Lonchura striata: one gene and its partner. The protein of the gene in region 2 interacts with the protein of the main gene of each other region in a pairwise test. Links are inferred from orthologs where the notes say so. Each region holds a gene or a part of one and is shown on either strand. Other genes may lie near its edges.

The links. The genes of interacting proteins can lie anywhere in the genome.
Region 1: the proteins of MOCOS (region 2) and PARVA interact in binary tests that used the Homo sapiens proteins (3 or more experiments, as listed by UniProt). The two-hybrid records come from large-scale screens. The link is inferred for Lonchura striata from reciprocal best matches to the Homo sapiens genes MOCOS and PARVA.

Annotation. Positions count from the first base shown.
Region 1 is NC_134608.1:58,364,776-58,371,715, forward strand, and holds the start of PARVA (alpha-parvin), read left to right. Parts: upstream 1-3,145; 5' UTR 3,146-3,247; coding exon 3,248-3,383; intron 3,384-6,940. UniProt on the Homo sapiens protein: Plays a role in sarcomere organization and in smooth muscle cell contraction. Required for normal development of the embryonic cardiovascular system, and for normal septation of the heart outflow tract.
Region 2 is NC_134603.1:65,142,541-65,149,480, forward strand, and holds the start of MOCOS (molybdenum cofactor sulfurase), read left to right. Parts: upstream 1-2,378; 5' UTR 2,379-2,405; coding exon 2,406-2,529; intron 2,530-6,940. UniProt on the Homo sapiens protein: Sulfurates the molybdenum cofactor. Sulfation of molybdenum is essential for xanthine dehydrogenase (XDH) and aldehyde oxidase (ADO) enzymes in which molybdenum cofactor is liganded by 1 oxygen and 1 sulfur atom in active form.

The DNA of each region.
Region 1 (6,940 bases), on a different chromosome or scaffold from region 2:
GCAGGATACAATTAATTTGATGTAATGTTTGGCTTATCTGGCTAAACAAGGCGCTGACAGGGAGTGTGGTGAGAGCTGTCATGGTCTGCTTCACATTTCTCTATGCCAGGTGCAGCAGGGCCAGCCTGAGCAGCAGCCTGCTCACTGCTGTGTTCTGTGCTGGGCTCGTGGAGCATGATCCTGGAAGTATTCTATTGTCAAATATAGAGCAGAGCAAACTCCATCCCCACAGCTGCCATAACTCAGACCTCGAGAATACCTATAAAGCCTTTTGTGATGAATGCAATATTAATTTAAGGCCATAACTTAGATCTTGTGTATATCTATAAAACTTTTTGTGATGAATGCAACATTAATTTAAGGCTATACGTTAATATATATTCCCACATAACAAGAAAAAAAAAAAAAAAAAGGTAGCCTATGTAATTCTAAATGTAAGATACAGGGGGAAAATGTTGTAATTATCCTCAAAGTGAAATATCACAACTGGAAAAATACTGCAGTAATGTTACACACAATGAACTGCACATAAATCCTGCAAGAAATCCCAAAATCAAAACTGTAAACTTAGGGTCTGGCTGTTGCTTTAGCATCTTACTTAAAGCACACAGTATTTAAGTTTCCTGATGTGATAAAGTTAATCTTAAACACATTGTTTCATTTCATTTTTTTCCCCTTGTGATGTCAAGCTCCCATAGTTCATGAGGCTATTAAAGAAGTAATACTGTATTTATCATTAATTTACATATACTCAGTGTTGAGAAATAGGAAAGATTCTGTGCCTTCTTAAGAGTTTTGTGAGGGACTTGGCAAGTGCATATTGAATTCTGACTACCCTGTACTGCACAGGCTCTTTATGAAGTATCTGGCTTGTTCCTTCTCTATTTACCACAAACACAGGGGTACTTGTGCTTACCAAAATGTTCCCTCTTCTGCTGTGGCCACAAAATCCTGTATTGACATCCATGTATAGTCATTTGGCTCCAAATGGAGATTCAGCTGGGTCACTGCTCTGTTTGTAAATGTCACAGATTTACAGACATATTTTTACAAGTGCTTACTGTGTGTATTTCTCCTTTTGAAGCTTTTATTATGTTCTTAAAAATGATACATACACTGTATAAGCAGGACTTCTGTATAAGGAGAATAATGTGTGAAATTCAGGCTGAAATTCATAGACAAGAGGCCTGAGACAATAACTGGTGCTAGAACCAGAGAGAAAATGTAAGGAAAGGATTGTGCTAAGGCTTGGGCTCATTCCTGCTGATAACTGATGGCAGGATGGATGAATAGAGTTTTTTTCCAGGGCACATACTAACTGCATGCAATAAACAGAGATTGATGTCTGCCCCTCATCAGCTAACCAATGTTACCAGCTCATAAAAACACAACAATTATTAGCTGATTTAGAAATATCCTCATGGTAATTTCATTTCACTTATTATGCCTAATGGATAGCTAGATATTTGCATGAAGTGTGTGTGGCTTTTTGCCTGAATTGTTAATCAAGTGATTAAGTGGTAAGTGAAAGTAGTGCATCCAGATGACATTAATGCTGTTCCACTCCTGGATGCCTCCTGAACCAGTCACAGCAAATTATCTGTTTTAAACCTCCCATAAGCTGCTCATCTGCAAATCAAAGCAGGGTTGGTATAGGCAATCTATCATGTTAAGTCACCTTTCCTTCCACAGGCTTTTTATACTGGTCTGACTACAACAGTTGTTTTGTTTTGTGGGAGTGGATATGATGATGCCCACAGCTTCTCACCACAGACACAGCTGAAGACTGCAGGCAGAAGAGCTTTCCAAAATGTTATCCAGACTGAAATGTATGTAGTAAGCTTGAATTTGCAGGAAACTATTCAGTGACATTTTATTACTTCATAAGTTCTTTTGTGTGTCCAGGTCTGGCGCCTCCAACACAAGAGAGATGAGCTTGATGGAGCATGTCTAGAGGAGGCTACCAAGGTGCTTAGAGGGCTGGAACACCTCTCCCATGAACACAGGTTGAGAAAGTTGGGGTTGTTCAGCCTGGAGAATGCTTCAAGGAGACCTAGCAGCCTTCCTGTACCTAAAGGGGGGGTTACAGGACAGCTGGAGAGGGATTTCTTGCAAGGGCAGGTATTGTAAATGCAGGAGAACCCAATGGGAAGAAATGACGATGTCTGACTCAGTTCTGAAGGCTGAATTATTTCTTTATTATAACTATGCTAAAATACATCAATATACTATATAAAAGGAGGATACTAAAACTACATACTACTTTCTCTGACTCTTAACACAACTCATGACCCTCTCTGAGAGCCCAGCCCCAGGTGGGTTGGATTGGCCATCAGGCTCAAACAATCCTCACCTGAATCCAACCAAGCACTCACCCCAGGTAAACAATTCTCCACACACATTCCACATAGGAAAAACAAGGAACAGAAATTGTTTTCTCTTTCATTTCTCTCTGTGCACCTCTATGAAAATCCTGAGAGGGAGATAAATGTGCTTGCCCCAGGCAGGTAGTGACAGAAAACGAAGAAATAGTCTTAAGCTGAAGAAGTGAAGATGTTTAGACAAGATATTAAGAAAAATCTCTTTGTTGGGAGGGAGGGTGGTGAGGCTCTGGAACAAGCTCTCCAGAGAAGCTTTGGCTATTCCATCCCTGGAAGCATTCAAGGCCGGGTTAAATGGAACTTTGAACAATCAAGTCTAATTGTAGGTGTCCCTGCCTATGGCACTGTGTTGGAAACTAGATTTTCTTTAAGACCCCTTCCAACCCGGACCGCGATTCCATTTTTCTGTGGGTGCTGAGCACAGAACGTAGCTGCGACTCCATCCTTCCGGCCCTTCCCCTTGGGGTAGCCGAGGATGAGCGGCACGGTGTCCGTATCCACCTTTCCCTTTCGGCACGCTACCCGGCACCCAGCCGGGCCACTCACCCACCCAGCCCAGGGGTGGAGGATGGAGCGGGGGGCGAGGCGCCGGGCCCCCGCACAGCGAGCGAGCCGCGGCGGGGAGCGCAGCGCGGCTCCCGCACCGCCCGCGGCCACCGGCAGCCGGGCGAGGCGAGCGGGCCCTCCCCGGCGGGAGGGAGGGCGGGCGGAGGGAGGGAAGGAGCGGGAGAGCCGGGAGAGCGGAGCAGGAGCTGCCTCAAATGCTTGAAATAATTCCGCTTCCGTTCAGAGCCGGGAGCAGCCTCCCACGGCACCGCGGCCTCGGAGCCGCCCGCTCCGTCCCCAGCGCCGGCGGCTGGCCCAGCATGGCCACCTCCCCGCAGAAATCCCCTTCGTCCCCCAAGTCCCCCACCCCCAAATCGCCCCCCTCCAGAAAGAAGGATGACTCCTTCCTGGGCAAGCTCGGCGGCACGCTGGCCAGGAGGAAAAAAGCGAAAGAAGGTAAAAATTAACGACGGGCTTGCACGTTTCCTGGGAGTTACCTTGCTGTGGGGGGGGAGGAGACAGGGGGAGAGGAAAAGCTCTGGGGAGCGGGAGGAAGGGGCTGGCGGGGAAGGACGTGCGGAGCGCGGTGGGCAGGCGAGGGAGGAGCCGCCCCGGCCCCGCCGCTCCCGGGGCCGCTCCCGGGGCCGCTCCCGGGGCCGCTCCCGGGGCCGCTCCCGGGGCCGCTCCCGGGGCCGCTCCCGGGGCCGCTCCCGGGGCCGCTCCCGGGGCCGCTCCCGGGGCCGCTCCCGGGGCCGCTCCCGGGGCCGCTCCGAGTCTGTGTCCAGTGTCTGTGTGCGGGCCCGGCCGGGGAAGGAAGGAATGAAGGAAGGAAGGAGCGCTGCCCGCAGCGGGCCGGGCGGCCGGCGGGCCCCGCAGGCCTGGGAGCGCCCGGGGATGGGTTTTCCCTGGGAGCGCCCGGGGATGGGTTTTCCCTGGGAGCGCCCGGGGATGGGTTTTCCCTGGGAGCGCCCGGGGATGGGTTTTCCCTGGGAGCGCCCGGGGATGGGTTTTCCCTGGGGGCGCCCGGGGATGGGTTTTCCCTGGGCAGGATTTGTGTGCTGAGCCCTGTGTAACGCGGTGTGGTCAGCGCACGGCGCTCTGTGTGATGCACGCCGCTGGTGGGGATCCATAGCAGCGCTCGCGGGCAATGCAGGGATCCCTGTGCTGAGCAAAAGGCTTGCCTGGCCACAGCGAACCTTTACAGGACTCAGCATATACAACAGTCCGGTTCTTTGTCCGTACTTGTGAATTAATACCCGCCCCCCCGCTGAATTTTCCTATATGAAACCCCGTGAGAGAGACAGAATTGGAATTTAACCTTGCTCACCCATCGTTTTGACAGCTGAACTTGATTTAAATATGATGCAAATAGAGACAACATAACAGTCGCTTCAAAACAGGCTTTCTAGCAAAATTCATTGCTTGCCAGCGTGAAGAAGGGTGTGAGGCTCAGCACCCCTTGCTCCTCGTGTGCACATGGGCACTGAAGCCAGACACAGAGTGTTTTGGAGAAGCGCCAGGGCTGTGGACGAGAATGACATAACTTGGGAGCGTACAGCTCCTCATTCTCTTAACTATCACGTCATGTTTCTGTGATGTGCAGTCTTGCTTTTCGATTAAATCCATGTTGCACGATTGTGCTCACATTATTTGTCTTTTTCTGGTCATTTCAGATGGACCAGATGTTGATGAAATAGTAAAGAATTACAACTCAATTACCTATTTTTAAAAATTATCCTGTTAGAGTATTTATGACTATCAGCAGCACTGAGCTAGCAAAAATCTTCCTTGATGAGTCCATGTTGTAGGTATGTTTATAGAGACCTTTAAGCCTATTTGTGGCAGTTTGAGTATGTCCATTATATTGTCGTTAGTACTGTTTTTACTATTAAATACTTTTTTCCTTAGTGACAGATACCTGAAGTCAGAAATCTCCAGCAAACCTTCAGAGGCAGCAATTGCTTTTATCCACTATCTTGTAATCTTACAAAAAGATGTCTTCTGTGAAATCATACTTCTTATTAATGCATTACATGTATTGATTAAAACCTGCACCTGCCATTTCATTATCATGGTCTATGCTTTTGAAATTTGGAAACTGAATTGTCCTTGTCTTTTGCGTTTCCCAATTTTCTAAGGTCTATCTAAAAATAACTGGATTAGAGAGCTGGGGTTTTTTTTATTAACTTTGTAAGGACTGTTATTTGCTGATGGACGAAAATGTATTGTATTAATTTCACCTTAGTATCCTTTTTACTTGCCTGTATATTTTTGACATTTCTTTGGTAGAAGCGTATATAGAGGTGAAATTGATAGTATGCTATCTTATCTTTCTGTTTATTGATTTATGGGTTTTAACACATTCAGGTGGCTTCAGCCTTACTGTGAAGCCTGTCCTCTTTCTTAGTTCCTAATTTTTCTCTACTAAAAAGAAATACAAGTTTGCAAACTATTAATAAGCATTGTTCTTGCTGGCTGTGGCCCACGTAGCTTCCATCGTAAGTTGTGCTTATTGTTTTTGTAGGGCTCCAGGTGTTTTTGAAGCCTAGCTAGGAATTTCAGAGGTCAGATTGCGTGTTCGTCTAGGATCTGAGTTTTGGTGTTTTTTTCCTGTTTTAACCAAACTGTGGTAGGTTTCCTATGGAGGTGGGTCTTGGTCATAGAAGTGCAAGTGGTTATTCAACTGCTTATGCGCAGGATGTATAGGAAAATGTTCAGAATAACTCAGGATAAATGAGGGACAACTGAAAATTTGCATGTCTTTCAGTTGGTGTAAATTCTGCTGTTACACAGAGCACAGAAGCATATTGATTTCCTTCACTGTTTTACCACAAGGTCTAAGAACTGGTGGTTTTTAATAATGCAAAAATGTTTTGTCTTTTGTAGGGACTATGCTGGTTGCACTTTAGTACCATCTCTGCTGTATGTGTAGTTAACTGTTGTAGGCGATACACAATTACACATCTGTGAGTTTTGTATTTTTGTCATCAACAGGTGTTTTGATCATTGTCAGAACTACATTTTTGTATATTGCAACAACAGAGCCAAAATGCTTCACCAAATGAAAATCTTTTAGGCTCTGAAGTGACTTTATGATGAAGAGTAACGCAGATTATTTATGAAAAGAGTAAAGTTTATGTAGTTTTAGGTGTAAAATAGTTTATGATACAACATAAAATGCAGTTTCTGTATTGACATTAATTTATATGCATAAATATATATATAAAATATACAGCAAACATTTGCTTATGCATTTCAAAGTTCTTGGCAATGGTGGAGGTCCACCAGTGGAAGAGGTGAGGGTAGTCTAGACGAGTGAAATGAATTCTCTAATATCAGAGCACAAGTTATTGACCAAAAGAAAGAGAGTAACCTGAAATACTTGAGATATCACACATGATGTAAGCACGGATTAGTCATACCATAAGACATATGTTAATATGGCAAATACATTGCCATTAAATATTAGAGAATACTTGATAAAATCTGGAGGTTGGAGCTCAGATTTGTTTATGTTGTTGTCTGTCACGTAGAGCCGTAGTCTGGTTTTCATTTACAGCATCTCATCACCAGTGGTGTAATTCAAGGATGAGAACATTGTACTGTGGTCTTCCCTGTGAGAGCATCTGCAGCTACATCTTTAAATGGAGCATACATTCTGTTGAGGTAGCAAAATTACAAATTTTTAAGGATGTTTGGAATTAATTAAATTAGCTTTTTTAGGCACTGAGAGAATTGTGAACAAGGACTGGAATACTTGACAGCCTGTCTGCAAACTGAACTGCAGTATGCAAAAGTTATTAGTGGTTTTTAATAAGGTTCTGTCCCCTTCATTGCTGAAAGGCATTTAAAGACTGGCTATCCCATAAATGCTAGTCAGGCATCCCAGTCCTTATCTATCAGGAGTTCAGATACACGATGGAGCTCATCATATGAGCAGAAAAAAACCCCACAAATTAGATTTTTTGTAAGCTTGCTATAGTATTCTGTACTGTGTACTAAACATGTCTTTA
Region 2 (6,940 bases):
TACTATTCTGCATGCTTCCCATTACATGATTCCAACTGCTCAACCCTTTAATACAATATCCAATCATGCCCATAAGCTCTGGCTCACAGTTTTCAAGAATTAATATCTAAGGCTCCTACAAGGAAGGGATACTGTCTCCTGCTCATACAGTAGACCAAGGCAGAGACAAAGCCCTAGCTCTTGGCCTTCTACAGCATTAGTCTGCATATTTTATACCAGCCTTGTCAGTAATGCTTTGTCAAAGCAGAACACTGTAAGATGTGCCTTGGGATAGTCCTGTTGTGGTTAGGCAAGCTGGGTGTGACCAAGTTCAGAGCTGAAAGTTGTGGCTTCATGTTGAAATTCTATGAAATCTCCAGCTTTTACCTCAGAAACAGAGTTAACAGTAAAGCCTAATTAGTTTTTTAGATGTTATACTAATCATCAAACACAAAAACTTCTATACTGATGCTGAGTGATCTGAATGCCTCTTATTATTTAAATACTCTGGTCAGCCTTTATGATGGATTGACTAAGCACTTTATTGGAAACTCAAGAATCAGTCATCATCACAAGGCTACATACAGTGTGCAAACAGAGCACATTCCCAGTTAGTACTGTCTCCATGTTTGTGTTACTTCCAAAGGGCTGTTCTTCAAAAATCAGGACAAGGAAAGAGACAAATCAATTGTGAGGGACCATATTTACATAAAATTGTGAATGAAAGTTAGGTCCTCAAGACACATTTATTGTAAGATCAGAAAGCTGCATTTTGTCATCTGTTTTGATGGGGAAAACTTGTTTCAATAAGGGATTGAAACAACTATTTGACGTAAACAATATACGCAAATAGTGAGGGAACTGTGCATAGCAGTCAATATAAATAAATTGCTCTGTAAATTGACAACAGGAAGCTAGAAATATTAAGGAAAATCCATAGCAGATATTTTCTACATATACTTGCAATAAAAAAATAAATCATAATGGTGGCATAAGTTCTCCTAAATTGCAATGCATAAACTGTTAAAATAATTTTTAAAAAGCTATTTGGTGCAAGGTTTTTGTTTGCTTGCCTTTTTTTTTTTTTTTTTAAGTGACTTCAAGAGATCAGCCAAGAACATTGCTCCACTTGATAGCTACTGTTCTTTTTTTTCTCAGTGGTGCTTTGTTCATCTGGAATGAGATGGTTAAGGTGTAACTTAGTTGGCAATTAGTTTCAGTAAAATCATCGGCTGGCTGAAAGGTGTACAGTGTCACCTGAAGATGTCATACACTATATACCTACCCCAAGCATGAATAGAGAGTCAGGGTCAAACACGTTTATAGTGTTATATAGCATATAGAAATATATGCCCTGAAGCCAGGGCTACGTGTTTAAATTAGACAAAAATTCTTAGATATAAAGCAGGGGGCACATTAGCATGCTATATTTCATGTTAGGCTTATTTTATAATTTTCTACATGGTTTTATTTTGGTACCACTTCTAAAGTGCAAATCTTTAGAGTTCAGTTTGGGCTGAAGTTTGTTCTGTGTAGTTTCCCATTTCACTGATATCCCACTAGCAGCATTTCAAACAATCTAATGAGAGTCTGCCTTACCAGTTTTCAGATGTAGGTCCATCCTAATGTGAAGTTTTATTTTGGTATTGAACTAACTTTGAAGGTAATTTAATGCTCTGCAGATTAAGTAGAAAAATTCAGTGAGTAGTATGTCAGGAAAAAATTAATGTGAAAACAGCATAACAAAACAACGAAAAGCCCCAATTGAAACCCAACAACAACAATGAAAGAAACAAACAAAAAAAAAACCTCAACAAACGCATTCCTTTGGTTGTGATTTTTTTTTTTTTATTAAGTGTATGGTTATAGTTCATCTGACAAAGCAGAGGATTTTTCAGGAATGGTTTTTACATGGGACAATATCCCTGGGGACTAGCCCATTCCACAACTCTGGCTTTGGCCCGTGGTACTTTGCACAGCTTCTATGGCCAAGAGAACCAGCTCGACATGATGCAGGAGTACTGTACACCAAGTGCAAGGTATGAGCAAGTGACCTCTGTTTTTATCAGCATTGGAAGAGGTATCAAGGGAAATCTGAGCTTGAACTGGAAAATTTTAGGGGAGAGAGATTTCCATGAAGAATTTTCAACAGCATGCCTCAACAGGAGGGTACACTTGTTGCTACCACCCCCAAGCCGATCTCCCGGCGCTTCGGGAAACGTCTTCCTTACGGGAAACTCCTCCCTGTGCCAGCGCAGCGCCCGGCTCAGCCGCGGCCGGACCGGCCCCGGCGCCTGCGGGGCGGGCGGCGGGCGGGGCAGATCGGCCGTGCCGAGCCGAGCCGAGCCGAGCCGAGCCGAGCGGGCCGGAGGCAGCGGCCGCGGCGGCTCCGCGGTCCGCGCCGGGCCCTGCGAGCCCGGGGCGCCATGGCCGGGCAGCCGCTCTCCTTCCGCGCCTTCCGCGCCGCCCGCCCCGCCGGCTGCGAGTACGGCTACGGGCACGGGGACGCGCTGGGCGCGCTGCGGGACCGCGAGTTCCCCCGGCTCCGAGGTACGGCGGCGGCCGGGGGCGGGCCGGGGCGGGGCCGGCCCGGGCCAGTCCCGGCCCCGCTCGGCCCCGCGGGAGGGCTCTGGGGCGGGACGCTGGCGGAGAGCGCTGCGCTCGGCGCGCTGCCGCGGCTTCTGCCGCACGCTCGGGGGCGAGGGGCCGCTCTCCCCCTCCTCCTTCCTGTGGAACCTGTCCTCCCTCCGGCACAAAAGCCTCAAAGGTGCCATGGATTCAGTAATAAGATTTCGATGTGGATATGAAGAGGGGGGTTGAGAGGGTACTATTATTATTATAATAGTAAATCAGCCCGTTGCTAGTGAAAGCTTATAGTTAGACAGGTATTTGTGAACTGCATTTACTTCTATAGGTTTTACCATCCCCCCAGCATTAAACACCCTTGTGCATTCTACTTCAAGTATAATCGTGATGATTATATGATAGTAATTTGTTCTGTTTAAAGACCAATGCTTATGGTATTGGCACTTCAAAAATGTTATGACAAAAAGCTCCAGGTAGAGAGTAGAGTGACTAGCATCAGTTTGAATGCCCTATAACTGTTATTTAGGCCCCTGTTTCTCTTGAGAGGTTTATGTTACTGCTCGTTTTATTTTTGTAATTTCATGAGTTTTTGTGATTGAATACAAGAGTGGGCTTTCTCACCCATGGGTATTTAGTTTGAATGGAGGTATACTTGGCCTCTAGAGGAACATGAGAAAAGCTTAAGCAGCACTTCGAAGAACTTGGGAGATTTAGTAAGTCAGTGTTACAATCTGTTATTAGACGTAGTAGTTGCACCGGTGAAAATTGGAACAAAAGAAGTTGCTTATCCAAAATTTAGGCTTAAGTTCTGAAAAGTGTATATTTGGTGACTGAAACATTGTTTAGGCCTTTAAACAGATGAGTTTTAAAAACTCTCAAGAATTAGGCTAATTTCTCAGAGGCTTTCCAGTTTTAAAATAAAGTGTATCTGTCAGTGAATGATGTCTGGTTCCCAAAGGAAGGTTACTGCAAAAACAGAGCATTAGGAGGTTTCCTCCATATGAAAATATTTTTGCTAATGTAGTCTTCAGAATTGCACAGGCTGCTGAAACAAGATGTAGATGGAAAGGTATCTACAGATATTAGACTATTTCTAGAAAGAGATGAAAAAATACAGGATATAAAATAGAATCTTAAATAACATTAGCTGTGTGAAATCACATAATCAGCTATGGTGAGGTGACCCAGGTTGTAAAATCCTTCCGTCTTTTGATTTCCCACTTGGAATTTTAACATGATATCCAGTTAATGAATTGTCATCCATTCATCTTGCAAGCTTTTCTCTTCTGTGAGGAAACTCAGTGTCAGTGAGGAAATGTAACTGATTGCTGCTGTACATGCACGTGGTGTCTCTGGGACTTCTTGTCTGACAAACAGCAACATGTTTCTGGTCAGGAACTGGTGCCTTCAAGTGATACCACCAATGCCGAATGAAAGGTGGCCAGAGACAGCTTCCTGGGCCTAGTGTCCCCTGCCTAACACATCTCTTGGTCTCAAAGCTGACTAATTGGACTAGTCCATGACAGACTTCAGGAGCTGGCTGACAGCAGAGCAGTGTGGATGAGAAGCACACTGCTTTTATTTATTTACTGACCTCCTTTAATTTAGTCATGCATCCTCACTTGCCAAAGGTCTCAACACGCTGACGTTGATGTAATGAGAAGTCTTTTAAAGCTCTCAGTTTTATTGTCTTGCAGAAACAAGGTAAAGAAAGAGTGGCTAAAGTACAGGTTGGTGGCAGCAATAGTAAATAAAGGAACCTTCTCCAAGTGACTTACAAAAATTAGCATTTAGCTGCTCAAGCATTTTCCATGGCCTGACAGAACATGTAAGTTGCAGGATGAGGTAGAGATTTTACATCTCTGGTGGTCTAGGATCAACTCTCTGGTTAAGTCCTGACTGTACAAACAGTGATTATTATAGGAACTTCTACCTGTTCATGGTGTTGAGCTCTGCTCTGTGTTTCCCAACTGCACAAAGCTGCTGCAGTTTCGTCCCTTCTGGTAAAAGCAAGTCTTAACTATTTCCACTGGGCAAAAGAAAACCTGTGCTGTTTTAGGGAATTAACAGGAGTCATAGAATCATAGAATGGTTTGGGTTGAAAGGGACCTTAAAGATTATCTAGTTCCAACCCCCCCACCATGGAAAGGGATACCTTCCACTAGACCAGTCACTAAAAGCTCCACCCAGGCTGGCCCTGAACACCTCCAGGGATGGGGAGTCCACAACATCTCCAGGTGGCCTGTTTCAGTCCCTCACTCCCCTTATAGTAAAGAATTTCTTCCAAACAGCTAATCTAAACCTACTCTCTTCCAGTTTGAATCCATTCCGTCTTGTTCTGTGAGTACATGCTCTCTCCACCTCTCCTGTAAGCCTCCTTTAAGTACTGGAAGGGGCTACAAGGTCTCCCTGGAGCCTTCTCCAGGGTGAGCAGCCTCACTGTCTCAGCCTGTACCCTGTTTATTTGGGTCATGCATTGAACATCCTTCAGTCATTAAAGCTGGTTAAAAATCCAGATTTTGCTGCTCACTTTTTGTGTGAACAGAATTTTTGGAGTCCCCTTCTAGATACCCATGAATTAAGCCTAATGTTTGATTTAGGAAGTGTCATTTTTTTATGAGCCTCATGTGGTAGTAATTGTTGTGTATCAATGTATTCACTTTTTCCTGATTACTAATATTTTGTGGCATCCACTAAGGATATATTGCACAAATGGTGTTCCTGGGGAAGGCAGAAATCTTTTCTGTGTTACAGACCATTGCTTATATGGTGCTGGTGCTTCTGTTGTAGCTTTAGTATGAATAGTTGCACAGGTGCCTGTTGAGCAGAAGGTGCAAAAGATGTTTGAAGAGAGCGCCAGCTTAGCTACCAGGCATACTGTGAAGCCAGGATTTCTCAAAGGTGGTCCACCTGTATCAAGTCTTGGGGAGTTGCACTCTTAGTTCCATCAGAAGGAAAGTAGGGTTCATACTCAGTGTGTTGGGGATTTCCCCTTCAGGTTTTTTGAAGAGATAAAAAGAACTACTTTACTTCCTTAAATCAGTAGGGGTCTGCCTGTTTTGGCACAGAAGCCTTAAATTTTCCCTTTTAAGCCACAGTTTATCTTTGCTTCTGTAATTCAAAGGCTGTTAGCTGATGACTAGAGCAGCCCTTTCTAAAAATATATATGGAGTCTGTGAAACAGATCGCTGTTTCACAGGCAGCAGCGTATGTGCAATATGTGACCTTGACTTTAATCTTGTGAACAGTGTACCCTTATCTGCAGTGTAGGATTTAAAATTGTGCTTTAGAAACGGATAAAGAAATCAGCAAGAGTTTATAGGTTCTGTTGTTAACTAATGGGGATGAATATGCTTCTGTGATGTTTATCATAGCAAGGAAAATACCAGGTTCAGTTTGTATCATGTTTTTAAAAAGGAAAAAGCTGACCTGATTTGGATGCAGCATTTAATCACAAGATACCTTTCCATTTTAAGTTGTGTGCCAGTATTCTTGTCTAATATAGCTGTGGTAGTTCAGAGCGTTCAAGAGCAGTAGGCAGTGGATATTCATTCTCCAGATAAAAACTAGCATGTAATAAGAATCGGGTATTCTTTAAGGGGTTCTGACTATTTGAAGACAGTCTTTAGGTGAGCTTGAGATGGACTATCCCATTTAATGTCAAATCAGTCACTTTCCTGTACTTGGACATCATGCCTTACCTTAGTAGTATGAACATTCGTGGTATTTGTGATTACATACAACTAACAATAATAACAAAATTTTTCTGTTAAATAAAGAGGAAAGGCAGACTGAGCTTTGAGTAACAGAATTGGACTTTGTTTCTTTGGGACTCAAATGATGTCTCATGAACTGGTCACCTGTACAAGAACTTATTGTACTGTTCACTTAAAGAATAGCTGGGTTTTGGATTTGACTTTACACAAAAATAAGTCTATTTTTACTCATATTGCTGATAATTGTTTGTGTGGTGACTTTTCCTTTGAGTAGGAGAACGTGAAAAGCAGATCTCTGTGTGCTGCAGTTAAGTCCTCAGCAGCTCGGTTAGCAAAGTTCATCTCTGTCCTCCGAGAACAGAAAAGTCTATCTGTTTTGTCACCTTTAGGGTAATCTAGTTTTCTTTTGGGTGAACTTCAGAGATAAGAAATACAATTTAGTGTGTCAGCTTGGAGTGATTTTGTTGATAAGTAGCTGATGCTCACACTTTATTAAACTTGTGAAGATGAGTGGACTGTGAGCCTCAAGAGTCATGCTCACCTCATGTAGGCTTGCCTTGTCAACCAGAAATTCTACCAGTCTTGTGCCTGAGGCTTCTTCTTTATTTTGGAAAAAAAAAAAAGGGAAAAAAAGAAAAATTTTTGCATCCTAAAATGAC